Macaca fascicularis: one gene and its partners. The protein of the gene in region 1 purifies or fractionates together with the protein of each later gene. This does not show direct contact. Links are inferred from orthologs where the notes say so. Each region holds a gene or a part of one and is shown in the gene's direction. Other genes may lie near its edges.

Region 1 (3,500 bases):
GTCTCAAACTCCTGACCTCAAGCAGTCCTCCCACCTTGGCCTCCGAAAGTGCTGGGATTACAGGCATGAACCATTGCGCCTGGCCTAGTTTACTTTTTAACAATTTCAGGAGGTGTGATCAGATGCAGTGGTTAAGAGTGTGAGTTAGACAGAACTGGGTTCAAACTCCAGCCAGGCCATGTAAGCATGGTGTGACCTCAAGCAGGAGAATAGGGGGAAAGGGCATGGATTTCTGGGGACAGATCTGCCTCTGAATGGCTATGTCACTTCATCTCTTTACCTTGTAGGATTTTGTGGGGTGACATGAGCTGCTGTGGGGAAATCACCTGGGCCAGCACTTGATGTCTAATAAGTGTTCAGTAAATGTTGGCTTTGTCGTCTTGTATTTTCCTCAGCTTTGTAGGTGAGGGAACGGAGGCTCAGAGAAGCCTGGAGATGTATCTGGGGTTACACTTCTGACAAATGGCAGAGCTGGATCTCACCTATAGGTCTTTAGGTCTATTTTACAGAGTCATGAGTGTGGCACAGTCTCCAAAACACCTGTTTTTTTTTTTTTTTTTTGAGACGGAGTCTCACTCTGTTGCCCAGGCTGGAATACAGTGGTGTGATCTTAGCTCACTGCAACCTGTACCTCCTGGGTTCAAGTGATTTTCTCCTGCCTCAGCCTCCCAAGTAGGTGTTTGCCACCATACCGAGCTAATTTTTGTATTTTTAGTAGAGATGGGGTTTCACCATGTTTGCCAGACTGGTCTCAAACTCCTGACCTCAGGTGATCCACCCACCTTGGCCTCCCAAAGTGCTGGGATTATAGGCATGAACCCCCGCACCCAGCCCCAAAACACATTTCAATTGTCAGCAGATTCAGGTGAGCCTGAGTTGTATCCAGTTTCTCTCTTGGGTAGTCTAACCATACCTGGTGTTCATTTGTGGCACTAGAGGTTATGGTATTCTTCAGGGGAAGAAAAGGATTGGTAAGGACTTGGGAACTGGATGAAAATTTGATAACAGGCTGGGAGTGAGGAGCCTAGAGCAGAAGATTTATGGGAAACTGGAGCCCTGGTGCCTCTGAAGGTAGAACAGGGATAGTGGGTGGAAGCTCTAGAAACCATTCCTCTAGAAACTGCTCATATACCACAGGGGTGGCCCCAGAGCATAGTTATGTTTGTTTGCTTTTTGAGAGAATCTTGCTCTGTGGCCCAGGCTGGGGTGCAGTGGCTCCATCACAGTTCCCTGCAGCCTCAACCTCCCAGAACCAAGTGATCCTTTCACCTCAGCTTCCCGAGTAGCTGGACTACAGGCACGTGCCACCACACCCAGCTAATTTTTGTACAGATGAGGTCTCACTGTGTTGCCCAGGCTGGTCTCAAAACTCCTGGGCTCAAGTGATCCTCCCACCTTGACCTCCCAAAGTGTTGATATTACAGACATGAGCCACCACACCCGGCCCATAGTTGTTCTTTTCTCGCTGAGTGTTCAAGCAGAGGCTGGGTGGCCTGTTAGCACTTGAGGAAAAGAATGAATGAGTATAAGATGGCATCTAGCTAGACAGAAATCTGGGAGACAGCCCATCTCTCTACAACATGGGCTGACCCATTCTGAATAAATTATAGTCCTCTCCCTTTAGAAGGTTTATACAGTGAGCTGCTTTTTCTGTAAACGTGGTACTTGTTGAGGTTGATGCTGGCAGATTGGTATCACCCTCCCATGCCAAGCTGGTCTCACCTTCAGGCTCCTCATTTGTCCATCCTACCGTCTATCCTTGTTGACACATTTATCTTTCCTAAGTGCTGCCTTAACCCTATTGATCTTTCCTCTATTGACAAACTTGACTCTTATCTGAAGTAATGACCCTGTCCAGTGCCTGCTCTTTTCCTTGTGCAAGCTGTTGCCTCATACCCCTCCAGTAATTTCAGGCCCTTTGTGTAGGCCCTGTGGTACCACCTCCATTTCTCAGTCCCTAGTCACCCAAGCTATAGGGTTCTGTCTCACATTCTAGAGTATGCACTCTGGAGGGTCAGAACCACATCTGGTATATACTCGTGACCTTCATGATGCCTTTGAAATCTGAGTGCCAGGCAATGCAGGGGAAGACAGTTTGGACCAGCAGTTTGAAGCTGTTTTAGTTAGAGTTTAGCACCTTCAAGAGCTCTTCACATCTTTGCTGCACAGCCAGGGCTCTGAAGCTAGGCCAACTGGTTCGAATCTGGAGTTCCCTGCATTTCTGCTGTTTGACCTTGGATAACTGCTTTGGTTTTTTTAACCTGTAAAAATGGGAGCACTCGGCTGGGCACAGTGGCTCACGCCTGTAATCCTAACACTTTGGGAGGCCGAGGCGGGCAGATCACCTGAGGTCAGGAGTTCGAGACGAGCCTGACCAACCTGTTGAAACCCGCCTCTACTAAAAATACAAAATTAGCCGGACATGGTGACGCATGCCTGTAATCCCAGCTACTCGGGAGGCTGAAGCAAGAGAATCGCTTGAACCTGGGAGGCAGAGGTTGTAGTGAGCCGAGACCGCGTCATTGCACTCCAACCTGGGCAACAAGAGCGAAACTCCATCTCAAAAAAAATGGGAGCGCTCATACCCACGCTGGAGGTGTTGTGAGAACTGTTTAGGTAAAGTGCTCAGTGCAGTCCCTAGTGTACATAGTTAGTACTGATGATTGCTGTGTAATTCACCAGCTTTCTCACAATGTCAGTCTGCTTTTCTGGACTTCCGCCTCCCACCAGTCAAGGCCCTCCCCACCACTGGTGCTGTTGACTGTTAATTGATTAGCCACTGATTTCCTTCTAGATGTCCAACATCACAGTCACATACAGAGATGGCCGAGTGGCACAGCTGGAGCAGGTATACATCCGTGGCAGCAAAATCCGCTTTCTGATTTTGCCTGACATGCTGAAGAATGCACCAATGTTAAAGAGCATGAAAAATAAAAACCAAGGCTCAGGGGCTGGCCGAGGAAAAGCTGCTATTCTCAAGGCCCAAGGTAGGTGCTCTTCATGCACAGGTTTTAAAATACAGGTTTGTCTTGTGTCTTGTAGAAAGGGGCCCTCTTACTGCCTGGGAACAGAGAGGGCTTGACCTCTGCTCTCTCCACATCCACTGCCACCCCTTCCCCTTGCAGCATGGAGAGATCCTGTGGGGCCATGAGGCTTTGCCTGGCCTTCTCTGTCTTGCTGCATCTGGAATACTGTCTTAAGTGAAAGGGTTGATGAATCTCCTATAATAAATTTCTAGGAGGACCTTTTTTTATTTTATTTTTTTGAGACAGAGTCTTGCTTTATCACCCAGGCTGGAGTGTGGTGGCGTGATCTCAGCTCACTGCAGCTTCTGCCTCCCAGGTTCAAGCAGTTCTCCTGCCTCCGCCTTTGAAGTAGCTGAGATTACAGGTGTGCACTGCCATGCCCAGCTAATTATTTTTAATTTATTTTATTTATTTATTTTTGTATTTTTAGTAGAGATGGGATTTCACCATGTTGGTCAGGCTGGTCTCGAACTC
Region 2 (4,107 bases), on another chromosome or scaffold:
CCAAGCTTAAGTGGACTTGGCAGGTGGGCGGGATGGTGCCCGCCAGGAGAACCTGACCTTGAGCTGCCCGTGGACAATGCATTCTTATGTCTGGGGAGGGTGGCGCCAGGCTGGGGACATAGAGGAGGCCTTGAGCGCCTGGGGAGGGGACAGTTGCAGCGCTGCTGGTGCCCCGGGCTGCGGGAGGCGCCGCTGGCTTCCCTAGCCCCACTCACTGATAGAGAAGGCGCCGGGCTCTTCCCGGATGACTCTGCACCGCTCCAGCAGCAGGGCTCCGACGGGCTGGAGGAGACACGGGCGCCGGGACGGAGCAGTGAGCACCCGGCCTCCGCGGGGCCCCAGCCTGGGACCCGCCCGCGCGCCCTCGACGCCCCTACCTCGGCCTCGTCTGTCCGGAAGTAGAAGAGGAAATTCACCACCAGCTTCACCAGCCGCCGCTTCAGCACTGCGGGCACAGCGCGCGCTCAGGGGCGCAGGCAGCCCCCGCCCGGACCCCGGCCTCCCGCACCCGGCGCCCCGACCCGGAATCCGGCCTCCGGCACCCGCGCCCGGACTGCGGCCCCAGCCTTCCGCCCCTGGCACTGTCCCGGTCTCCCGGGTCCCGCTCACCGCTGCCCTTCTTGGGGCCCCTCATGCCCAGCTCGGCCGCCATCTCGGCCGGCTGCCGGGACAGCGCCTGCAGCTCCTTCTCGTTGTACCGCATGGCTTCGCGGGGAACGGGAACCTGGACCGCGCCCTCCCGGCCGCCGTCCCCGTTCACGCCGGGGCCGGCGCCAAAAAGGTCTCAGGGCGCAGACACGGAAGCACCGCCGGGGCTAGTGCGCCTGCGCACTTTGGGCCGGCCATGCCGCCAGTCTCCAGTGCGTGGCGCTGGCGACCTGGGGCGGGGGGCGGGGGGGCGGTGCACGAGTTGGTAGCGGAGACGGACAGTCGTTACATAACCATTAAATTGAAATAAACCAGACAAAGGTGGAACAGCATCAAGGCACCCCCGCGATGGCTGGCACCCCTTCCTAGAGCGGCCAGGCGCAGGCGGAGGGAGCGATAACGTCTCCCGAAGAATGTCAGCCGCCCCTCGCGAAAGTTAGCCCAGCGCGGCCGCAGCGAACCAAGGGTTCGTTGGGGGCGTTGTGCGCACGCGCGGTTTGCCTTCCAGGCCGGGCGTTCAGCCCCGCCCCCTCCAGCCCTTTCCCTCGCGCCTCCTGACCCTCTGACTTGCGCCGCTGGGCGGGCCGGGCATGCGCACACCAGAGGGCCCGCCCCATTTGCCCCGGAAGTGCTTTCTTTGACCGCGACGCGCGTGCGCCGAACGAAGTCGTGGCGGTGGCGGATCGAGGAGATAACGCGCCCTCAGGCTCTGGTGAGGAGTGGAGCCGGTTGAGGGTGGCGGCCGACTCGGACCGGGGGTTCCCTGGGGAAGAGCGGACGTAGGAGAGAGGAGCTTGCGACAGGCCGCAGGCCGAGGGGCGGGCGGCGGCGTCGCTCCCCTCCCTCCTCCCGTGAGCGTCCGGCCTTGTGCATCCTGTAGGTCCCGCGTTGGGCGGGCCCGGAGGGTCGGGCCCCCTCGGAACTCTATTTCCAAACTCCTGTTGGGAGGCCGCGCGCGGGGGCTCACGCCTGTAATCTCACCGCTCAGGGAGGGCTTGGCGGGAGGATCGCTTGAGGCCAGGAGTTCGAGACCAGGCTGGACAACACAGCGAGACCCCATCTCTACAAAAAAATTTTAAAAATTAGCCAGGAGTGGTGGTTGTACCTGTAGCCCCAGCTACTCGAGAGGATCGCTTGATCCCGGAATGTCGAGGCTGCAGTGAGCCATGATCGCAATTGCACTCCAGCCTGGGCAACAGAGCAAGACCCTGTTTCACAAAATGAAAAAGAAACAACTAAGACTCGTTGGGATCAGATCGGGATCGCGGCTGAAATGGTTTGGGCCTCCTTCCTTGTAGCCGAGAACGCTTCTGCATGCTAATCTATACCTGTGAGTTCACTGGGGCTCTGTGATGTAACTCCTGTAAGCGTCATTCCCCTTAAAACGGGAGTGACAGCTTCAACACCATGCCAAAGGGGACCAGAAAACGTTAGCTGGCCCCATTTTGCAGGTGCACATGGCTGTGACCGTTGTTCGTGTGTATCCTTGGAGAACACCAAACAGCCAGGGGGAGCTTTGGAAAAGAGGTTGTTTGCTGGGTTTAACGAGAGAACGGTGTTGCCACCAAAAACTAATTCCTTCCCGCTGGTCCAGCCCCAGGTCTCGGAGGCCACCTTTCCTCAATTCTTAAGTTCATTTCCCCTGGTCGTCGTCGGTTTTTTGTCTCTCTGTTTGTTTTGAGACAGTGTCTTGCTCTGTCACCCAGGATGGAGTGAGTGCAGTGGTGCCATCACAGCTTACTGCAGCCTCGAACTCCCATGCTCAAGCCGTCCTCCTGCCTCAACCTCCCAAGTCGCTGGGACCACAGGTGCTCACCACCATGCCCGGCTAATTTTTGTATTTTTTGTAGAGACGGAGTTTGGCCATGTTGCCCAGGCTGGTCTCGAACTCTTGACCTCAGGTGATCCTTCCCCCCCCCACCCCCCCACAGCCTCCCAAAGTGGTAGGATTACAGGCATTAGCCACTACACCCGGCTCTTTTTTCTATTTTTTTGTAGAGATGGGGTTTTTCCACTCTGTTCCCTGATCTTTACTTTAGTAAATAACATACTTCTTCCTGGATTTATCAATTTGTAGACATCATCTGCTGATTTCCTGTCACGGCTGTTGAGATTTTCTCCCTCCTATCCACCCACTGCACCTTCGCCTTCCATATCCTGAATGAGTTTCTGTCGTGAGCACAGTTGGTCATTGGTTGTATTTTTTAAATAAGATGCAAAATGTTGTTGGCTGCTCAGGGCCGGGCGCAGTGGCTCACGCCTATAATCCCAGCACTTTGGGAGGCCAAGGCAGGTGGATCACGAGGTCAGGAGATTGAGACCACCCTGGCTAACATGGTGAAACCCCGTCTCTACTAAAAATACAAAAATTCAGCCAGGTGTGGTGGCGGGCACCTGTAGTCCCAGCTACTCGGGAGGCTGAGGCAGGAGAATGGCGTGAACCCAGGAGGCGGAGCTTGCAGTGAGCTGAGATCACGCCACTGCACTCCAGCTTGGGAGACACAGCGAGATTCCATCTCAAAAAAATATATGTATATGGCCGGGCGCGGTGGCTCACGCCTGTAATCCCAGCACTTTGGGAGGCCGAGGCGGGCGGATCACAAGGTCAGGAGATCGAGACCACGGTGAAACCCCGTCTCTACTAAAAATACAAAAAATTAGCCGGGCGCGGTTTTGGGCGCCTGTAGTCCCAGCTACTCGGGAGGCTGAGGCAGGAGAATGGCGTGAACCCGGGAGGCGGAGCTTGCAGTGAGCCGAGATCGCACCACTGCACTCCAGCCTGGGCGACAGAGCGAGACTCCGTCTCAAAAAAAAAAAATATATATATATATATGTATATATGTATATATGTATATATATGTATATATGTGTATATATGTATATATATGTATATATATGTGTATATATGTATATATATACACACACACACACACATACACACATGTATATGTATATATATTTAGTTGGCTGCTAAAACAAGTAATGTGTTCAACTGGGCTTTTGTTGTAGCATTCTATTTTCCCTTAAAGCTAATTAACTTTGTTTTTACCATTAGCCTTTCTTTTCCCTACTGTTTGTTTATTTCCCCACAAAGCTCCAGCATCTCACACCTATCAGTTGTGTTTTGCACAGGTTTAAATGAATTGATCTCCCCCTCCCCACTGCCCTCCAAGACTCCCGTATCCTCCTCCTCCAAATGGGACTGATTGTGCTCTGCCTGGGTGGAGCTGGTGTCCCAAACCTTCCTGTCCTTGCTGCCCTGTGCTGACCTCTGTTCCCAGTGTGGCCATCTTTTCCTCTTCCTGCTGTCAGAGCAGAACTTCTGGGAGCTTTGGAAGAAATAGATGATTTTTTTCGGGGATGGGGGAAGTCTTTGATTGCCTGAAAATGAGTTTATTTACCCTCATAGTTAGAAGTTTGGTGGGGTATAAAAATCTAGATTGAAAATCCATATTTGGC
Region 3 (3,194 bases), on another chromosome or scaffold:
GAAATCACAGACTCATATCCAAGGTCCAGTATCCTGGACCTTCAGGGTCACTTGCAAATAGTTTTACAATAATGTTGAATGCCCAGCTGTGCGCAGTGGCTCACGCCTGAAATCCCAGCACTTTGGGAGGCTGAGGTAGGCAGATCATATGAAGCCTAGGAGTTAAGAGACTAGTCTGGCCAACATGCCGAAACCCTGTCTTTACTAAAAAGTACAAAAATTAGCCAGGCATAGTGGTGCACATCTGTAATCCCAACTACTTGGGAGGCTGAAGCCCGAGAATCGCTTGAACCCAGGAGGCGGAGGTTGCAGTGAATCGAGATCACGTCACTGCACTCCAGCCTGGGCAACAGAGTGAAGCTGTTTCAGGAGAGAAAAAAAAAGTCAATGCCCTACGTCTATTATATTTGCCTTTTATTGCGTAGACATATGTGCTTTCCTGGTTAATGCTAACTCTTTTTCAGCATTTCTGCCATGCAGCCTTTCTGTTATTCTTTGTGTTTGTGTCTTATTCCCCCTGCTGAATTCCAAATCCTTTATTTTTTTTTAATTTTTTGTAGAGACAGAGTCTTGCTATGTTGCCCAGGCTGGTCTCAAATTCCTGGGCTCAAGGGATCTCCCGCTTTGGCCTCCCAAAGTGCTGAGAGATTACAGGCATGAGCCACTGCATCCTGCCCCAAAACCTTTGAGGGTAGAGGAACCATGTATTCTTCATCTTTTCTTTACCACCATGATGCTTGTCCCAGAGCTTTGCTTTTTTCAAGTGAGCAATAAATTCCTTTTCTTACTTCTTATTCTGTTGACTTTCTATGAATTCTAGGGCTAGGAAAGAACTATGGAAGCTGGTTTAGTTCCATCCTTCTGCCTCAGGGAAGGGCCACATTCAGACTACCTGGGAAAGTCTGGTAAAATGACTGTGGAAGAGGTTTCCACAGTTTCCAATTAACATGTAGCAGTGACTTTAAAGTTTTTTACATGTAGACCTCCTAAAACAATTTTGAAAATCTGTGCCCCCTCATACATTTTAAAATTGATACCTAAAGAAATTTTTTAAGTAGTTGCAGAGAAGGTAATTTCTGGCATATAATTTATTATATACTTATTTCAAGCGTATATTTGTCCAAATTTTAGGTTTGCAGGTTAATCCTATTTAGTTTGTACAAATGTCTACCAAATAGCCTAACTGGCAAAAGCCAATCTGCATTGTAAAGCCAGTGGACCAAGTTAGACTAAATTTTCCATCAGAAAAAGTCTGACTTTGTTTTTAAATTCAGATAAAGTTGTTGAATATGTCCTTATCACAACGATCTGTCATATGTTTTAGTTCTCGTTATTAGACAGAAACAGAGTGAAGTTACAGAACCATACTTGTGTTTGTGGTGTGACTGAAACAAGATCAGCGCCCCCTTCATTGAATTTTACCTAGATACTCTTTCTTTTTGCTCTTCGGTTCTTAGGGAAAAGCCGCTTTTGTGCCTTAGTTTAGAACCCTTATGTTTTTATACCCCTGAGCATTGTACCATGGAAAGATCTGGGATGAATGACAGGTATGTGTTCTTTCTTTAAAGTGGAAGAAGGGTGATTGTGAAAATAGAGGCAGTTCAATTTTAAGAAAGAGAACATTAGAGAAATTGGCTCTCTTAATACTATTAGCGCCCAGAACTCCCTCGAAAGTTTTTGTATACTACTTGGAGGTATGTGTGCTCCAGTATGAAGACTGCTATTCTAGAATTATTTAGATCTCACGTCTAAGATGCCTTAACTGGAAATTCCTTTGTTATTCTTAATAAGCTCCTAATTTCTCATTCATTGTTTTCACTAATACATTTTTTTTTTACAAGGCTTTTTAGGTTTTATAAGTGTATAAACTTCTCCTCTTAGCTTTTGTCTGATCCATAATCTCCCACAAAATTTGTTAAATTGCATCATGAGACCAGCCCTCCCTCCCTCCTGCACCTTGATTACTCCTGGGCTGGCCCTCTTGTAATGCTTCAGCTTGTTTTCTATCATGTTTCTCTTTCTCTCTCCTTTATAGCTCATGCTGCACAGGTCACTTGTGTTGCTGCCTCTCCTCACAAGGACTCTGTGTTTCTTTCATGCAGCGAGGTAAGAGATAGCTCCTTCTTCCCTAAACACACTCCAGCCCTCCATAGGCCAAAGTCTCTAGTGTGGAGACTTTCTGGCCTGCAGCGCTTTGGACTGTGAGATCCTTTTTCTGTTCCGCCTTCCTCTAGGACAACAGAATTTTACTCTGGGATACCCGCTGTCCCAAGCCAGCATCACAGATGGGTGAGTCTGAGATTCATTGGTGGGAGAGTAGTACTTGGAACCCTGATAGAAGAGAATTTCTTTGGCCAGTGTCAAAGCATAGTTGCCAGATGCCCAGTGTAGTTACTGTGACATGAGTGACATAATCTCCTTCTTTTCCACTGAGACTCTGCTAACCCCATTCTTGCAATGCATACCAAGAGGAAGGGCCAGTTCCTGGGTGGCTGATTTACTTTATTAGACGGGAGGACAAAGGGGCCAGAATTGTTATCTTCATGATTTGTGCCTGAAACTTGCCTGTGACTCATGTCCAGAAAGGGCAGGAAGCTGGTGGATAAATGGTTATGAGGCTCAAGGATGAGGACACTGCTGCCTTAGCAGGGTTTGGGAAATCAAATAAAGGTGCTCCCAGGATTTAGAGTGATGTCATTTGAGAAACCGCTTCTTCTGGACTCTTTTGAGTTTTTGTCCAGACCCTCTTCTCTCCTTTGCAGGCTGCAGTGCGCCTGGCTACCTTCCTACCTCACTGGCTTGGCATCCTCAGCAAAGTGAAGTCTTTGTCTTTGGTAAGGCAGCATGTCAGACTTCATATTGACTCTGGGAAAGGGGAGGAGGAAAGAGAAAGAGCTGACTCCACAATGCACAAGGCCCTTGCTGCTCAGTCTTAGCCCTCATGGACACTAGATGAATTATGAATTGAGGGTGGGGAGGTGGGGTGATGCCAAGGTAGTTTTAGTGTAGCTTTGGAGAACATGATTATTTTCCCAGTGGATTTGATTTTTGATTGATGGATCTAGCTCCTATATTCTGGGCATGGCTATAAGTCAGTGAGCCACAAAGCAAGTGGATTGCTATACAGCGAATTCTTTTCTACTGTGGGTAGGTGTAGAGCTATCGTGGTCATGAGGCTGTGTGTATGGTGACGT
Region 4 (3,500 bases), on another chromosome or scaffold:
GGGTTGGTGGGGTGGAGCCGCTCTGTGGCGGGACTCACCCCTGTCCCCATGCGCCCCACAGATACACATGGTCTACAGTAAGCGGTCAGGAAAGCCCCGCGGCTATGCCTTCATTGAGTACGAACACGAGCGAGACATGCACTGTGAGTACCTCCCGCCGAGCCTTGCCCTCTGACCCGCTCTCACTTCTCTGCTGCCCCAGCCCCTCCCAGTCTGTCCCCTCCCCCACCCTGCCACACCTGACATTAGCGGTGTCTCTCTTCCTCCTCCCTCTGTTTCTGATGTATCTTTTTTTTTTTTATATACGTGATTTTTAAAAAAAACCAAATCCCCCACAACGTGTGTGTGTGTGTGAACCTGGGGAGGTAAGTGTCACACGTTGAACCTCAGGGGCAAAGAGGGAACTGGGTGAGGGGCTGGGGCCAGTTGGAGGTGGGGGAAGGGGTCGGATTTTGGGGGAGCCTCTCCCCATTATTCCCCCCACTGAAGTTGGGGGTGGCCAGGTTGCAATGAGGACTGGCCTTTGAACCTGTCCTCTCTTCCCCCCCAGTAGAACTGGGGCTGGGCCACCCGACCCTCTGCCTCCCCAACCCTGGCCCCCCACCCTGTTCCTCAGTGGGCAGTGGGGTGATAGGCATGTTGAGCGCCTGCCCCTACAGTTCCAAAGCCCCCTTTGAGGCTGCCGCGGCGTCCACATGGGCAGGGATGGGTGGGGGAGGGTGGGCAGGGCTGCGGCGTGTCCAGGGGCCGCCGTATTAATTGATTGTTCTTATTGTCACTGCAGCCACCACGCAGCTGGCTTGCAGCTGATGCTTACGCTCCCCTTACAACACCTCAGTGTATGGTTGGTATAAGGGTTTGTATCATGGGTAAGATCACTCAGCACCGCACACCAGCCCAGCTTAGCCAGGCAGCTCAGGAGCAGCGAGGCGCCCCTCCTCCCGCCCCAGTCGCCCCCGCAGCCTCCCCGCACCCATGGCCCTTTCCTTGTTTGGGTGCCCTTTGTCCCTCCTGCCCCGATCCGTATGCTCTCCGAGAATCTTGCTGATCCCAGGAGGGGAAGGATGAACCCGGTAGGAAAGGCGGTGGCCTCTCCGCTTGGGTTCCACCCAGCCTCTGATGACCCGGCTTCGCGATGTCAGTGGCGAGGTGGCGGGAACACCGAGGGCAGGGCACCAGGCCAGGGCTCCACTGGAACCCTTCAGCCTTCCCTCCCTGCCCCCGTGCTTTCTGTGGGGCTGCTACTGTGCTGGCCCTGGAGAGTCTTTTTGGCTGCTAGTTTTGGGGTGCTCTGCGCCCTTCCTGTCTTCCTTACTGTGGTTGAGGCCTCCTGAGGGGGCTGGCTGTGGTGTCCAGCCGCTCTCCAGAGGTGGTCAGGAGCTCCCCAAAGTGCATGGAATTGGGGCTTGGGGTGTGGGAGGGACCAAGGGGTAGGCTGCCAGCAGCTGAAGGTGTCAGTAGGTTTTTACTAAAGAACCTTCCACTGTCTAGAGACTTGAGAGAGGGAAAGAGAGAGAGAGGCCTAGACGAACACAATCACATGTTTTCTTTGCTGTTCCTCCCGGGATGGGCCTCTTTTGGGGTTTGGGACTCTGAACCCGAGCGGGGTTCCTTCGCTTGACTTTGATCCTGGTCCTTAAATGCCTTTCCCCACTCCCCTCCTGTGGGTTCAGGGGCCAAGTGGCCCCTCCTCAGAGCACGGGCAGCACCGTCTCCTGGACCCCTGTGTGCCAGCCTCTGCAGACGCAGCTGGTGGGAGGGAGCATGGAGTTGGAGGTGGAGAAGTCGCGGGGGGTGGGCTATGTGCCTAGTTCAGTGTGACTTGGGGACTGGTGAGGTTGGACAGGTTTTTGAGGCCTCCCCAGCCTTCTTTGTAAATTCACACGAGATAGTCCAGGGCTTTCCAGAGCCCAGCTTGGATGATAATCCTCGTCTCCCCGACTCTAAGGCCTCCTTGAGATTTCTTTGGGGTCCACCACATCCTCTGCCTGTCTCCAGGTGGTACAGGAGATGTGGTTCCTCTCCCTCTCCTGGCTCCCTAGAACCCCCAACTTCCCCTCCCTGTAGCTTTAGCTGACCCCATGGTGGTGGGTGTGGGGTCTGTGCGCGTGCTCAGGTAAGCTTGGGGGCTCCAGGTAAGCGGTCCCGTGTCCCCCCCCGGGAAGCCCGCCTCCTCGCCAGGCCCCCAGGAGTTGCCGAGCCCCCCCCATCCCGCTCGGTTTGGACACCCGCAAGGCCGGCATCGGTAAATGGCACCTTTTTCTCTTCCTCTGGTTGTTATTTGGGGGGGAGCGGGCTGGGGCGGGGCAGGGTATTACGGTTGGTTGAGGACAGCCCCCTAGGCCAGGGCTGGGTGGGGGAACAGGGACTTTTTGGCCTTCCCGATAGCCCCACGTGATCACAGGCCAGGGCCTCAGGCTTGCCTTCTGCTGTGCACTACCCGAGAGCAGCAGTGAGCCTCTCCCCCATCTCCCCTCCACGACTCCCCTTTCCTGGCAGGCTCAGGCTGGGGTGCGCTCCCAGCATGTGTTGAGCCGGGGGTGTGGAGGGCGAGATGGGGCGGGGCTGGGGGGGAGGCAGAGTCAGTCATCTCAGGTAAGGCAGGGATTTTCAGTAGCACCGCACGGCTCCCCATGCTTCCTCCACTGCCCCTCTCCCCTGCTGCAGGGGCCCTACCAGGCCCCCTGGGAGTGTATAACCCGCCTCTCTGCTCCCTGCCATTTCCTGAAGATTTCTCCCACCCCCTTCTGGTTCATTTTCTGTTCTGATGTCTGTTCCCCCCACACTCACCCCCCTCCAAAAAAAAACAAAAACAGAAAAACCGGTGTGGTCTGGGGTGCGGAGCGTCCCAGCTGGGCCTCCTGCCCTGGCTTGGTGTCTCAGGGTGCATGCTTGGGGTTGTGGAGGAGCCCCCTCCCCCACAGCAGAGTCCAGCGTGGAGTTAACCTTCAGTTTCTTTGCAGCGATTTTGGCCGCCCTGGCGGGAGGGGGCTGTTCCATCATGTGGGAGAGGAAGGACGGGGGAGCCCAGGGGGTGGTGGGTGAGGGTGAACATCTCCCTCGACCAGGAGTGGTTGGGGCGCCGAGAGGAAGCAGAGGCTGAGATGGAGCAGGCCCTTCGCCGGTTTGGGAGAGGGTTGGTCTGGCTGTCAGTTGCCTGGCTGTCTGTTGGGCGTGTGCGTGTGGGTGATGATGGGGACACGGGGCGGGGATTCTGTAGACCCGGGCCTGTCCTGACTAGAGGACCCTCTGGGGACTCCTCCCCTCCCCCTCCCCACATCTGTTACAGCCGCTTACAAACACGCAGACGGCAAGAAGATTGATGGCAGGAGGGTCCTTGTGGACGTGGAGAGGGGCCGAACTGTGAAGGGCTGGAGGCCCCGGCGGCTAGGTGAGCACGTCCCGCCCTCAACGGGCTCTCGGGGACCCTGGACCTGGTGGCCTTGTTCTCCCTTCTTTGCTGCTTTCTGCTTCTCTGTCTCCTGCCGGCTCACGTCTCC
Region 5 (4,090 bases), on another chromosome or scaffold:
CAAAGAAGGGAGTCTGTGAGAGGGAAAGAGGGAGCAAGGCTGCAGGTCAGGAGTCACCAGGGACAGGTTATCTTAAGCTCTCAGTCCAGCGCCATTGTCCATATATCTCCCACCTACCCCTAGCCTCAGGAAAATGGCTCCTCACTGTACCCAAAGTAGACATGGGGTCTTTCTGCAAGAGGAATACACCCATACCATTTTCCTCCCTTCAAACGACCATAATGACCCATGGTATGGTTAGTATTTGGGTTGTAGGTTTATCACATGGCGAGGTACTCCTTTCTTTGTGATGGCTCTAACCTTGATAACTACCTGTTTTCCTGGGCTGCTTCCGGGACCCATCTTTCTGAGCCTTTCTTTTTCATTGTCGAAGTCCAAGATCAGTGTGACGGTACAAGGTTATGATATTTTAATTGATGTCTAGGAAAACAGAATGCATTCTGATCTATTAAAATTCCTGATTTAGGAATACCGTCTACGATTTAAGAGAAACATTTAATGAATGTTAATAATGACGATGAGTGGTTTTCTAAGAACCCATAAAGTTAAAAGGCTTTAAAAGGGTGGTAAGATTCTCACTGTGCAACTCAATAACGATTTGTGAGGCTCAACGAAATTCTTACCCAAATTATTTGCAATTATTAAACAGAAATAATGAAAAATGACCTTGAATTACAGGGCGAGAGATGAGACTGTTAAGACTGTCTTTGTAACTAAGCACTGTAAAGACTGAGACAGCTGCAAGGTGAAGTTTTCCTCGAGTTCTTCTGGTGAATTGTGGGAAAGGGATTGAACGTCTGAGGTCTCTTCCAGCTCTGAAACCGCAGTGTTTCGTACAGTGTTCATTTTTTTTTATGGGAGGGGTCTCGGGGTCTTGCTCTTTCGCCCGGGCTGGAGGTTGGAGTATAGTGGCGCGACACGATTACGGCTCACGGCAGCCTTGAACTCCTGGGCTCAAGCGATGCTCCCACCTCAGCCTCTAGAGTAGCTGGGACTCAGTGTCTGTTCTTAACTCCCCTCGTAGAACCCACTTTCCTCCAAGGCAAAGTTACTCACTTAAGGACCTTACGGCTTAGCCCGAGGATTTCCTGGGTCACCACGCAGGCGGCTTCAGGTCCCAACCGTGACTCCTCCCCCACCCACAATGCACCTCGCGGTTCCCTCTAGGTGGCAGCTGTGTCACGTGTCACCCGACGGAGCGCGCTTCTGTTTGGCGCACGCGCAGAGTGCAGCCCCCAGCTATTTTTTTCTCCGTGGCGGCGGCGACGAGCGGAAGTTCTTGGGAGCGCCAGTTCCGTCAGTGTGTTCGAGTGGACAAAATGGCGAAGATCGCCAAGACTCACGAAGGTAAGCGGTCTTTCCCTGCTTACGTGTTTTCTTGGTTGCTAGCTTACTAAGAGCCTTTCTTCCTAGGATTCTGCCTTTTCCTATGGTTTCTTTCATGGGAGCCGAGCCCGCGTTTCGGGGCCAAGGGTCGTCTCCTCCGCGCCAGCGGCGCAGGCCACTGCCCCGCGTAATGGCGTCCTCCTCTTACACCCCCGACAGGCGCTTTGTTCGGTGTTTGGGACCTGCTACTTCAGAGTAGCTTCTCTTCTCCGACCAGAGGGCCTTGTTTAAGCGGCTTCCTCAGCAGGATTCGTGGGCAAGGGATCTGGGAAGCGGGCGTGGGGAGAAAGTCTCACTCGCCTGTCGACAGTGTCGTCCGCATAGTTTATGCAGAAGAGGGTCAGAAAAGCACTGAAATACGGCATCCGCTTTTCCGGCAGGACTGAATCGAATTTAGTTAAACCGAGATTCCATTACTCCTGCCCCCGTGTGTGTTCAAGCGTCAGTGTTACTTGCTTATTTTTCTTGCACGAAACGATTTGGGGATAAAATCTGGTAGTAGTTTTCCCTCCCTTAGTCACTTTTAGTATAATATTGATCTTTTTCTTTGGAGACTGGTTATTGGAAGAGCCAGATGGAAAAGGAAAAGATAAATTACTTTCATTAACGGCCGAAGCTTTCAAACTAGTTGATCGTTTTATGGAATGCAGAGTGTGCAAATTAGGAAAACGTTGGGAATAGACTGGAGTTCATTAGGAAATATCCAGAGATGACAGGAAACGGGATCACTTTTCAGAAAAGACGAGGCATGGGAAGTTGGAACTGCATTCTTTGATTTCTGACTTGGAATCCGAGATTTTCACTGAGAACGAGACTTCTAATTCACTTTTGTTTCATATGTTCTTTCTGGGTATTTGGCTCAGCATTAGTCTGTGAAAGGTAACAGACTGAGGCCATCCAAAATTTTACAGTCAGGTAGGGGAAACAGATGTGTATGTCCTCATTCTCTCATGAGGCCAAATGCATGCTTAAGTAGAAGAACAAACAACATGTTCTGGGAACCTGGATAACGGAATTATTATGCTTAGGGTTATTTCACTGAAGAGGTTACATGTCCCTGTTTTAAAAGGATCAGTTTTAAATCGGGAAGGACATCTGAGCCTGAGAACATCTTGTAACAAGGTATTGAATCGTGAAAGGTGTGTTTGAGTAGTAGTCCACTGTGGCAGGAACAGTGGGTGCAAGGAGAGAAGAAATAAATGAATCTGTAAAGGTTGGTTTAGGACCAGAATATGAATGGCTTTGAATTTTTGGGTCACTCGGAGGACCTGAAGTCCAGCTTTCTGCTGTTTATCAGACATGCTAATGAATTGGCAATGGCTTTAATACCAGTATTATTTTAGGTATTTAGGATTTAAATGCTCTCTTAGTGTTCTTAGGCCTTATTATTTTTCTTTAGACTATCTCAAATATAACCTTTTGCAAAATAAGTAGAAAATATAAAGATGTGCTGTTTTTGTTCATTCAGGAGGTTATTCATTTGGGGATATTGATAGTATAGCTTTGATATTTATTGGTAGCATAAGATGCTCTCAAACAGGAAAATCAAAGTTTTGATCAGTTTTCCTGAATTTTTTAGAAACCCAGCTAAAAGCTTTGGTCTATTGCTATTCATTGTCCAAACTTGTTATTTTTGAGATTATTCTATCAATGTGAATTAAGTGATGCCATAAGAAAATAGCAGAACATTCAATACTTGAACACTGTCTGTGCCCATCCCTATGGGTTATAAGTCAGGGGATAATAAATGTTTAGTAGAAATACACATAATACTGACATAGCTTCTTGCTTCCTTCCTAATGACATTTTCTTGGTGGAACTCTAATTATTCATGGTCCATCACTGTTTTCTCTTGTTAAGCCATTTTTGATAAACTGAAGCAGAATTAATGCTTTTAGGGGCAGTGCTGCCATAGCACTCAGTATAAATGTTATATTACTTAGAGTAGTCTATTGTGTTAAGATTTTCTCTTCTACTTAGCTCCAAGATTGAGATAAACTGGTAACTATTTATTTATTTTGCTGTCATATTCTTTCCAAACATTTATTTTATTTATTTTTTTTTTTTGAGATAGAGTCTTGCTCTGTTGCCCAGGCTGAAGTGCAGTGGTGCAATCTCAGCTCACAGCAACCTCCACCTTTTAGGTTCAAGCTATTCTCCTGCTTCAGCCTCCAGAGTACTGGGATCACAGGCATGCGCCACCACACCTGACTGATTTTTGTAGTTTTAGAGACAGGGTTTCGCCATGTTGGCCAGGCTGGTCTCAAACTCTTGACCACAAGTGATCCTCCCACCTCGGCCTCCCAAAGTGCTGGGATTGCTGGCATGAGCCACAATGCCTGAACCCTTTCAAACATTTCTATTAGGATCAGGCCTCACATCCTCTTTAACCAATCTGATTATATTTTACCCTGGCCAATGTGGCTTATGCTTTCCAGGATTGAAATATAAAAAGAGCTGGACTTACTCAAATCAGATAAAATCTTTTAGATCTTTCCGCATATTAAATTGTGTCAGGTGTATGGTTATGAATATGCATAATCTTGCCATCCAGCAGTTCTTCAGATACTGCTGACTTTGGCAAACAAATAGGGAACACATATTCTTCTCTGTTTTGTAAGGGGAAAAATGGGTTAATCAAAAATCCTGTGTATCAGCTTGTTTTGCCACTAATCCTTTGAATTAGATTTTTTGGTACATCACC
Region 6 (3,138 bases), on another chromosome or scaffold:
ACAAAGGAGCAAGGAAGGGTTTCTTGCCTGGCAGTGGTTGACAGTTTTTCTTTGTCTCATGTAGCTCTTGAAATTGGGGCTGACCTCCCATCTAATCATGTCATTGATCGCTGGCTTGGGGAGCCCATCAAAGCAGCCATTCTCCCCACTAGCATCTTCCTGACCAATAAGAAGGGATTTCCTGTTCTTTCTAAGATGCACCAGAGGCTCATCTTCCGGCTCCTCAAGGTGAGTGGTAGGAGGGTTCTAAAGGTGGTCCAGCTATACATCTTGCCTTATTTACCTGTGTATGATCGTTTTTTCCTGTGAGGCTGACTCTTTTTCTTTGGTTTCTGGGGAGCAATTTCAGTGAAGTTGGGAGTCTTGAGAACAAAAAGATAAATGCCAGTAATAGCCCTAGAAACCTTTCAAAACAAACCAAACCTCATGAGAACTTTGCAGAAGGTTTCATTTAGGAAGTTACAGCAAGGATCCATGAGGCTCTTTGGGTGTTGATGATACTTTTATGGCATAAGAGGGCTTTTCTTTTCTTTTCTTTTTTTTTTTTGAGACAGAGTCTCACTCTGTCACCCATACTGGAGTGCAGCGGTGCAAACTCAGCTCACCAGAACCTCTGCCTCCCAGGCTTAAGCGATTCTCCTGAGTAGCTGGGATTATAGGTGTGCACCACTACTACCCGACTAATTTTTGTATTTTTAGTAGAGACGGGTTTTACCATGTTGGCCAGGCTGGTCTTGAACTCCTGACCTCAAATGATCCACCTGCCTCAGTCTCCCAAAGTATTGGGATTACAGGCGTGGGCCACCACACCCGGCCAAGAGGGCTTTTTACAAGTTTACTGAGGCCTCATGCTGCCTTTGTTGGTATTGGAACAGATACTAGAGAACTGTTGGTCTGGGCCAGGCACAGTGGCTCACGCCTGTAATCCTAGGACTTCGGGAGGCTGAGGCGGATGGATCATCTGAGGTCAGGAGTTTGAGACCAGCCTGGCCAACATGGTGAAACCCCGTCTCTACTAAACATACAAAAATTAGCCAAGCCTGGTGGCACGCACCTGTAGTCCCAGCTACTTGGGAGGCTGAGGCAGAAGAATTGACCCTGGGAGGTGGAGGTTGCAAGTAAGCCAAGATCACGCCATTGCACTCCAGCCTGGGCAACAGAGCGAGACTCCATCTTTAAAAAAAAAAAAAAGGAGAGCTGTTGATCTGGGCCATATTTTACACTGGGCCCCGAATCTTGGTTTGCGGGCTGTATCTGATAGTCTGACTTTTCTTACAGTTGGAGGTGCAGTTCATCATCACAGGCACCAACCACCACTCAGAGAAGGAGTTCTGCTCCTACCTTCAGTACTTGGAATACTTAAGCCAGAACCGTCCTCCACCTAATGCCTATGAACTCTTTGCCAAGGGCTATGAAGACTATCTGCAGTCCCCGCTTCAGGTGGGTCTGGAGTGCACTGAGAGTAGGAAGGTGGGGTGAAAATGTATCTTGAGAATATATGCCTCCAAATGTTACTAAAACTCAGAAAGCAGTGGAAAGTTTTTGATATTTTAGTGCATTGTCCTTTGCCAGAAACTGGCTAACTTTATCCTTTTCCTCATTCATCAGCCACTGATGGACAATCTGGAATCTCAGACATACGAAGTGTTTGAAAAGGACCCTATCAAATACTCTCAGTATCAGCAGGTACTGTGTGGTATGCAGGGTGAGGAAAGCACAGGGCTAGCATGACCTAGGGAGATTGGGATTACAACCATAGGATATTCTCTCCTCCAGGCCATCTATAAATGTCTGCTAGACCGAGTACCAGAAGAGGAGAAGGATACCAATGTCCAGTGAGTGCTTTCCCCTCAATCCCAGGGACTTGCATATCTACATCTGTATATGCCAAGTCTGCTTGACTCTTCCCTTTCTTTGTTAGGGTACTGATGGTGCTGGGAGCAGGACGGGGACCCCTGGTGAACGCTTCCCTGCGGGCAGCCAAGCAGGCTGACCGGCGGATAAAGCTGTATGCTGTGGAGAAAAACCCAAATGCCGTGGTGACGTGAGTAGCAGCCTGCTTGCTAGGAAGTTAGTCCCCATTGCCAAATTTCCTTAACATGTCTCCTCACCTTATTGTCTCTGTTTCAGGCTAGAGAACTGGCAGTTTGAAGAATGGGGAAGCCAAGTGACCGTAGTCTCATCAGACATGAGGGAATGGGTGGCTCCAGAGAAAGCAGACATCATTGTCAGCGAGCTTCTGGGCTCATTTGCTGACAATGAATTGTCGCCTGAGTGCCTGGATGGAGCCCAGCACTTCCTAAAAGGTGCACCCAGGTTGGGGTGTAGGTGGAGGGTGATGATGGATGAGACATCTACCTGGGAGGAGGGTACAGGGTTTAGGGGAAAGTGAGTTGGACCTGGGTCACATCATATGAGTTTGAGAGCTATTGCTCCACTGCCTCTGTGCCCTTAGCAAATGAAGTCGTCTCTTCAAACCTCAGTGTTCATATTTGTAAAATGAAGGGAGTGGGCCAGGTGCTGTGGGAGGCCAAGGTGGGAGGTCAGGAATTCGTGACCAACCTAGGCAACATGGCAAAACCCTGTCTCTACTAAAAATACAAAAATTAGCCAGGCGTGGTGGTGCACGCCTGTAATCCCAGCTACTCGGGAGGCCGAGGCACGAGAATCGTTTGAACCCGGGAGGAGAAGGTTACAGTGAGCCAAGATTGTGCCACTGCACTCCAGCCTGGGCAATAGAGCGAGACTCCGTCTCAAAAAAATAATAATAATGAAATAAAAAATAATGAGGGGAATGGACTCCTTGAGCTGACGTATGTACCCTGAGCTTAGCTTTCATCAGGAACTTTTATGGGACTTTGTGACCCCACAAAAGTTAAGAACTACCAGATTAGACTATCTTGGGTTCTTTCAGTTTTTATCTGTGTGACTCTGTAAATTAACCTAGAAGTGGAATCATCCGTGACAGTAGTTGGAAGGCTGGCTTAATAATGTGACAACATGCATTTGTCTCTTTCTTCCATGCCCATGCCAACGTTGGTTGGTTTTGACATGGGAGGTTTGATCCTTCTGATCCTTCAGTTAGTACAGACACACCATTTCCCTCCCTCTGGAACTAATTTGACTCTCCTGCTGTGC
Region 7 (4,211 bases), on another chromosome or scaffold:
GTGGGGCGTGCCTATAATCCCAGAATTTTGCGAGGCCAAGAGGTCACCTGAGGTCAGGAGTTCGAGACCAGCCTGGCCAACATGGAGACACTCCATCTCTACTAAAAATACAAAATTAGCTGGGCGTGGTGGTGGGCGCCTGTAACCCCAGCTCCTCAGGAGGCTGAGGCAGGAGAATCGCTTGAACCCGGGAGGCGGAGGTTGTAGTGAGCGGAGATTGCGCCACTGCACTCCAGCCCGGGCGACAGAGCAAGACTGTCTTTTAAAAAATAATAAAAAATAAAAGATAATTTTTAAAAAGCCCCAATCCCAAATGCACCTTGCAATCCAAAGGGAAGAAGTTTTGGGGAGAAGTTCTTCCCATTTGGGGGGTGCTCCCATTTTCCTCTCTCTTCCCTCACCCCTTATTCTCTCTCAGGGATAGGGGTTCAGTTCGGAGGTGTCCCTGAGCCACACGTCCTCGCCTCTCCCCGTAAACGGTGGCGTCCCCCTCTCTCTTTCCCGTTCCTTCCCTTCCTTCCTCCCACCATGAGGGAATCTCCCCTCCACTCCCACTCCCGCCAAGGCACCGTGATCCTCATTCTCACTCATATTGTCAGTGCCCGTCAGGAGACTGGGCTGTTTTTGTCTGTTTCTTGGGGACGACAGATTCTGAGGAAAAAGGGCCAAGAGCTGGTTGTCGCCCTGAGAAAGTTTCTCCTCAGGCAACGGGTGCCAGGACTGGCGGCGCCTAGCACCTTCACCTACAACCAGAAACTAGCCGGCTACCTTCAGGAGCAGGGAGGACCTAAAGGCGAGGTGCAAAACCAGCTGGCGCAGCGACTCCGCAAGCCTCTCACACCTCAACCCAGGTTTCCCGCCACCAAGAAAAGGCACGAGGACGTCCTGCGCGCTAGCTCCACCCCCGGGAGGCGCGCTCGCGGAGTCTGAGGCGCATGCGCAACTGGAAACAGCGTCTGCGTTTCCGCGGCTGAGGTAATTCCGCCATCTTTCACCCGAACGTCCCGGGAAAACTACAAATCCCAGAATCCTCTTTGGTGTCACATATTTTTAGGCGGCGGCCGCAGCGCCTGATTGTTCTTGAAGCACATCTTACTAACTTTTCTCTGTTTCAGACTGCCTTTTCCTCCCTCTTTCCGTTCCCTGATTCCTCCTCTTCCTGCTGGTCTCCTTCACGCCCTCACTTTAGGATTTTGAGACTTTCCGGGACCCCACTGTCACCCCTGTCACCCGCTCCTCGGCCCAGCACTCCGCTGGCAGGAAGACCGGGCTGCGAATCTCCCCGGGAAAACGCCGTAGATTCGCTTCTTCCTCATTGGCCGAAGCGGGGGGGGCGGGGCCCAGCGCGGACCGAACCCCCGTCCCCGCCCACACTCTCTGGTATATAAGTCGGCGCGGCGCCGCGGCGGGCGTTTGGGGAGGCCCGTGAGCTGACGGGCCAGTGAGCGAGCGTCGGGAATGGGCGGAGGCGTTGGGGTCCGGGCCGTGGGTGTGGAGGCGGAGAGGAAGGCGTGGTGTGGCGTCTCCAGGTGATTGCGATTGGGGGAAGGCAGAGGAACCAGAGAACGACTCAGCCGTTTCGGGGGAAGAGGAAGTTGGACAACACCGGCTGTTTTAGTGCTTTTTATTTTTCCCCAATTCAGCAGAGAATATTTTCGAGGGGGGTGAGTTATAATGACCTATCGCGTTTTACTGAGCCCAGTTCCACTCCTGCCCTTCCTCGGCTTTGTAGGGTCTCTCTGCTCCTTCGGAAGCGCTTCTAAGAAGATGGGCAGAGGGGGGAGGTGTGCTACCAACAGCTCATGAATAATTCATGAGCACCGCCCTTCGTCGGGAAGCCCTGCCCCTCCGGATCGCGCTGACGCACGCTGCGTTTACCAAACTTAAGGAAGCGACGTCACAGGCCCTACCCCTAAGACGGGAGGCGGGGCGCCACCTCCAGCACGTGCTGCCTGTACCCGCGCAAGCCCAAAAGGGTGTGCGCAGGCGCTGCTCACTAGGGGGAGGAAGGAGGCGGGGTGGGGAGGTTGTTGGATTTAGAGCCGGGTGGAGACCGCTGAGACTCATTCCTCAGGAACAAGGGTCGGGTGTCAAGGAGACCTTTTCACACCAGGTCCCGTCCCCCGCCTACGGTGGGTGGGATCGCGCGGCAGAGACAAAGGAGATCAGTAGGGCCGGACCTAGCTGCGCAGGGAAGTAGGGTGTCAGTTTGGGGTGGTGGGCTTTTGCGGGGGCTGTGTGGGGGGTTATATTTAAACTCCCAGAGCCGTTAAGTTGGTTCGTACTCCGATGCGCGCGCAACCAGGGTGGTGGCGGAGTGCGCATGCGTGGTTCCGGGGCGAAGGGAACGCGCGCTTGCCGTGCGCGCTCGCGGCGGGGTGGTAGTGGCGGAGGAGAAAGGGGTCGGCGCACGCGCGGTTGAGTGCTCGAGTAGTTCGGGTGTCGCGGGCATCTTGTTTTGGTCTCGCGGGCGAGTGGGGCGCACTTCGCGGGGAGGCGCTTGGGCGCGAGACTAGGCGAGAAGAGCAGAGCTGCGCGCGCACTCGGGAAAGGGGGGGAAGGGAGCAGGGTCCAGGCAGGGGGGGTTAAGCCCCCTGATCCCCCTCGTTACCCCGACTGGGACGGAATAAGGGGAGGAAATGATCGAGATGGCGGCGGAGAAGGAGCCGTTTCTGGTGCCGGCCCCGCCGCCGCCGCTCAAAGATGAGTCGGGCGGAGGGGGCGGCCCCACTGTGCCACCGCACCAAGAGGCCGCCTCTGGGGAGCTCTGCGGCGGGACGGAGCGTGGTCCGGGTCCTTGCGCGCCGTCTGCGGGGTCCCCGGCCGCTGGGGTCGGTCGAGAGAGCCCCGGGGCCGCGGCCACCCCCCCCGGTGGTCCCCAGGCGCAGCAGCACCGAGGAGGCGGCCCCCAGGCGCAGTCGCACGGGGAGGCCCGCCTGTCGGATACCCCGGGGCGAGCCGCTCCCCCGGACGTGGGGGAGGAGCGCCGGGGAGGGGGCGGGACAGAGCTGGGTCCCCCTGCTCCTCCTCGACCCCGCAATGGCTATCAGCCCCACCGGCCACCTGGGGGGGGCGGGGGCAAGAGGAGAAATAGCTGTAATGTAGGGGGAGGTGGGGGAGGCTTTAAACATCCGGCCTTCAAGAGGCGCAGGCGGGTGAATTCGGACTGTGACTCTGTGTTACCCTCCAACTTCCTCCTGGGGGGCAATATCTTTGATCCCCTAAACCTGAATAGCCTCCTGGATGAGGAAGTGAGCCGCGCCCTCAACGCAGAGACCCCTAAGTCATCCCCCCTTCCGGCCAAAGGGCGAGATCCAGTGGAGATCCTCATCCCCAAAGATATTACTGACCCGCTCAGTCTCAATACTTGCACTGATGAGGGCCATGTAGTTCTTGCTTCGCCACTCAAGACTGGTCGGAAGCGGCATAGACACCGGGGACAGCACCACCAGCAGCAGCAGGCAGCCGGAGGGAGTGAGAGCCACCCCGTGCTGCCCACAGCCCCTCTCACCCCCTCACTCCACGGGGAGGGCGCCTCACAGCAGCCGCGGCACAGAGGCCAGAACCGGGATGCCCCCCAACCCTATGAACTCAACACAGCCATCAACTGCAGGGATGAAGTGGTGTCTCCGCTTCCATCTGCTCTACAGGGTCCCTCAGGCTCCCTATCAGCCCCTCCAGCTGCCTCAGTTACCTCTGCACCCCCATCTTCCTCCTCCCGACATCGCAAACGTCGCAGGACTTCCAGCAAGTCGGAGGCAGGGGCTAGGGGTGGAGGCCAGGGTTCCAAGGAAAAGGGCCGAGGGAGTTGGGGAGGCCGTCACCACCACCACCACCCACTGCCTGCAGCAGGCTTCAAAAAGCAACAGCGCAAGTTCCAGTATGGGAATTACTGCAAATACTATGGGTACCGCAATCCTTCCTGTGAGGATGGGCGCCTTCGGGTGTTGAAGCCTGAGTGGTTTCGGGGCCGGGACGTCCTAGATCTGGGCTGCAATGTGGGCCATCTGACCCTGAGCATTGCCTGCAAGTGGGGCCCGTCCCGCATGGTGGGCTTGGATATAGATTCCCGGCTCATCCATTCTGCCCGTCAGAACATCCGACACTACCTTTCCGAGGAGCTGCGTCTCCCACCCCAGACTGTGGAAGGGGACCCGGGGGCAGAGGGTGAGGAAGGGACCACCACCGTTCGAAAGAGGAGCTGCTTCCCA

Evidence for each region.
Region 2: the proteins of SNRPD3 (region 1) and SF3A2 purify together in Homo sapiens (affinity purification with mass spectrometry; 4 studies listed by BioGRID and IntAct, with this or other methods). This does not show direct contact. The link is inferred for Macaca fascicularis from reciprocal best matches to the Homo sapiens genes SNRPD3 and SF3A2.
Region 3: the proteins of SNRPD3 (region 1) and WDR77 purify together in Homo sapiens (affinity purification with mass spectrometry; 3 studies listed by BioGRID and IntAct, with this or other methods). This does not show direct contact. The link is inferred for Macaca fascicularis from reciprocal best matches to the Homo sapiens genes SNRPD3 and WDR77.
Region 4: the proteins of SNRPD3 (region 1) and SNRNP70 purify together in Homo sapiens (affinity purification with mass spectrometry; 6 studies listed by BioGRID and IntAct, counting the BioPlex papers as one, with this or other methods). This does not show direct contact. The link is inferred for Macaca fascicularis from reciprocal best matches to the Homo sapiens genes SNRPD3 and SNRNP70.
Region 5: the proteins of SNRPD3 (region 1) and SF3B1 fractionate together in Homo sapiens (co-fractionation; 4 studies listed by BioGRID and IntAct, with this or other methods). This does not show direct contact. The link is inferred for Macaca fascicularis from reciprocal best matches to the Homo sapiens genes SNRPD3 and SF3B1.
Region 6: the proteins of SNRPD3 (region 1) and PRMT5 purify together in Homo sapiens (affinity purification with mass spectrometry; 3 studies listed by BioGRID and IntAct, with this or other methods). This does not show direct contact. The link is inferred for Macaca fascicularis from reciprocal best matches to the Homo sapiens genes SNRPD3 and PRMT5.
Region 7: the proteins of SNRPD3 (region 1) and MEPCE purify together in Homo sapiens (affinity purification with mass spectrometry; 3 studies listed by BioGRID and IntAct, with this or other methods). This does not show direct contact. The link is inferred for Macaca fascicularis from reciprocal best matches to the Homo sapiens genes SNRPD3 and MEPCE.

The regions. Positions count from the first base shown.
Region 1 is NC_088384.1:28,869,029-28,872,528, reverse strand, and holds part of SNRPD3 (small nuclear ribonucleoprotein Sm D3), read left to right. Parts: intron 1-2,794; coding exon 2,795-2,987; intron 2,988-3,500. UniProt on the Homo sapiens protein: Plays a role in pre-mRNA splicing as a core component of the spliceosomal U1, U2, U4 and U5 small nuclear ribonucleoproteins (snRNPs), the building blocks of the spliceosome.
Region 2 is NC_088393.1:2,893,022-2,897,128, forward strand, and holds the start of SF3A2 (splicing factor 3A subunit 2), read left to right. Parts: upstream 1-1,307; 5' UTR 1,308-1,978; intron 1,979-4,107. Other genes in the region: PLEKHJ1 (pleckstrin homology domain-containing family J member 1), read right to left, coding at 216-282, 378-445, 610-703. UniProt on the Homo sapiens protein: Component of the 17S U2 SnRNP complex of the spliceosome, a large ribonucleoprotein complex that removes introns from transcribed pre-mRNAs.
Region 3 is NC_088375.1:122,924,367-122,927,560, forward strand, and holds part of WDR77 (methylosome protein WDR77), read left to right. Parts: intron 1-2,035; coding exon 2,036-2,106; intron 2,107-2,234; coding exon 2,235-2,289; intron 2,290-2,762; coding exon 2,763-2,834; intron 2,835-3,194. UniProt on the Homo sapiens protein: Non-catalytic component of the methylosome complex, composed of PRMT5, WDR77 and CLNS1A, which modifies specific arginines to dimethylarginines in several spliceosomal Sm proteins and histones.
Region 4 is NC_088393.1:57,079,741-57,083,240, forward strand, and holds part of SNRNP70 (U1 small nuclear ribonucleoprotein 70 kDa), read left to right. Parts: intron 1-61; coding exon 62-143; intron 144-1,411; exon of another isoform or gene 1,412-2,245; intron 2,246-3,289; coding exon 3,290-3,391; intron 3,392-3,500. UniProt on the Homo sapiens protein: Component of the spliceosomal U1 snRNP, which is essential for recognition of the pre-mRNA 5' splice-site and the subsequent assembly of the spliceosome. SNRNP70 binds to the loop I region of U1-snRNA.
Region 5 is NC_088386.1:93,049,546-93,053,635, reverse strand, and holds the start of SF3B1 (splicing factor 3B subunit 1), read left to right. Parts: upstream 1-1,290; 5' UTR 1,291-1,319; coding exon 1,320-1,347; intron 1,348-4,090. UniProt on the Homo sapiens protein: Component of the 17S U2 SnRNP complex of the spliceosome, a large ribonucleoprotein complex that removes introns from transcribed pre-mRNAs.
Region 6 is NC_088381.1:90,670,537-90,673,674, reverse strand, and holds part of PRMT5 (protein arginine N-methyltransferase 5), read left to right. Parts: intron 1-64; coding exon 65-228; intron 229-1,278; coding exon 1,279-1,440; intron 1,441-1,608; coding exon 1,609-1,686; intron 1,687-1,776; coding exon 1,777-1,835; intron 1,836-1,921; coding exon 1,922-2,044; intron 2,045-2,130; coding exon 2,131-2,306; intron 2,307-3,138. UniProt on the Homo sapiens protein: Arginine methyltransferase that can both catalyze the formation of omega-N monomethylarginine (MMA) and symmetrical dimethylarginine (sDMA), with a preference for the formation of MMA.
Region 7 is NC_088377.1:49,007,475-49,011,685, forward strand, and holds the start of MEPCE (7SK snRNA methylphosphate capping enzyme), read left to right. Parts: upstream 1-1,411; 5' UTR 1,412-2,639; coding exon 2,640-4,211. UniProt on the Homo sapiens protein: S-adenosyl-L-methionine-dependent methyltransferase that adds a methylphosphate cap at the 5'-end of 7SK snRNA (7SK RNA), leading to stabilize it.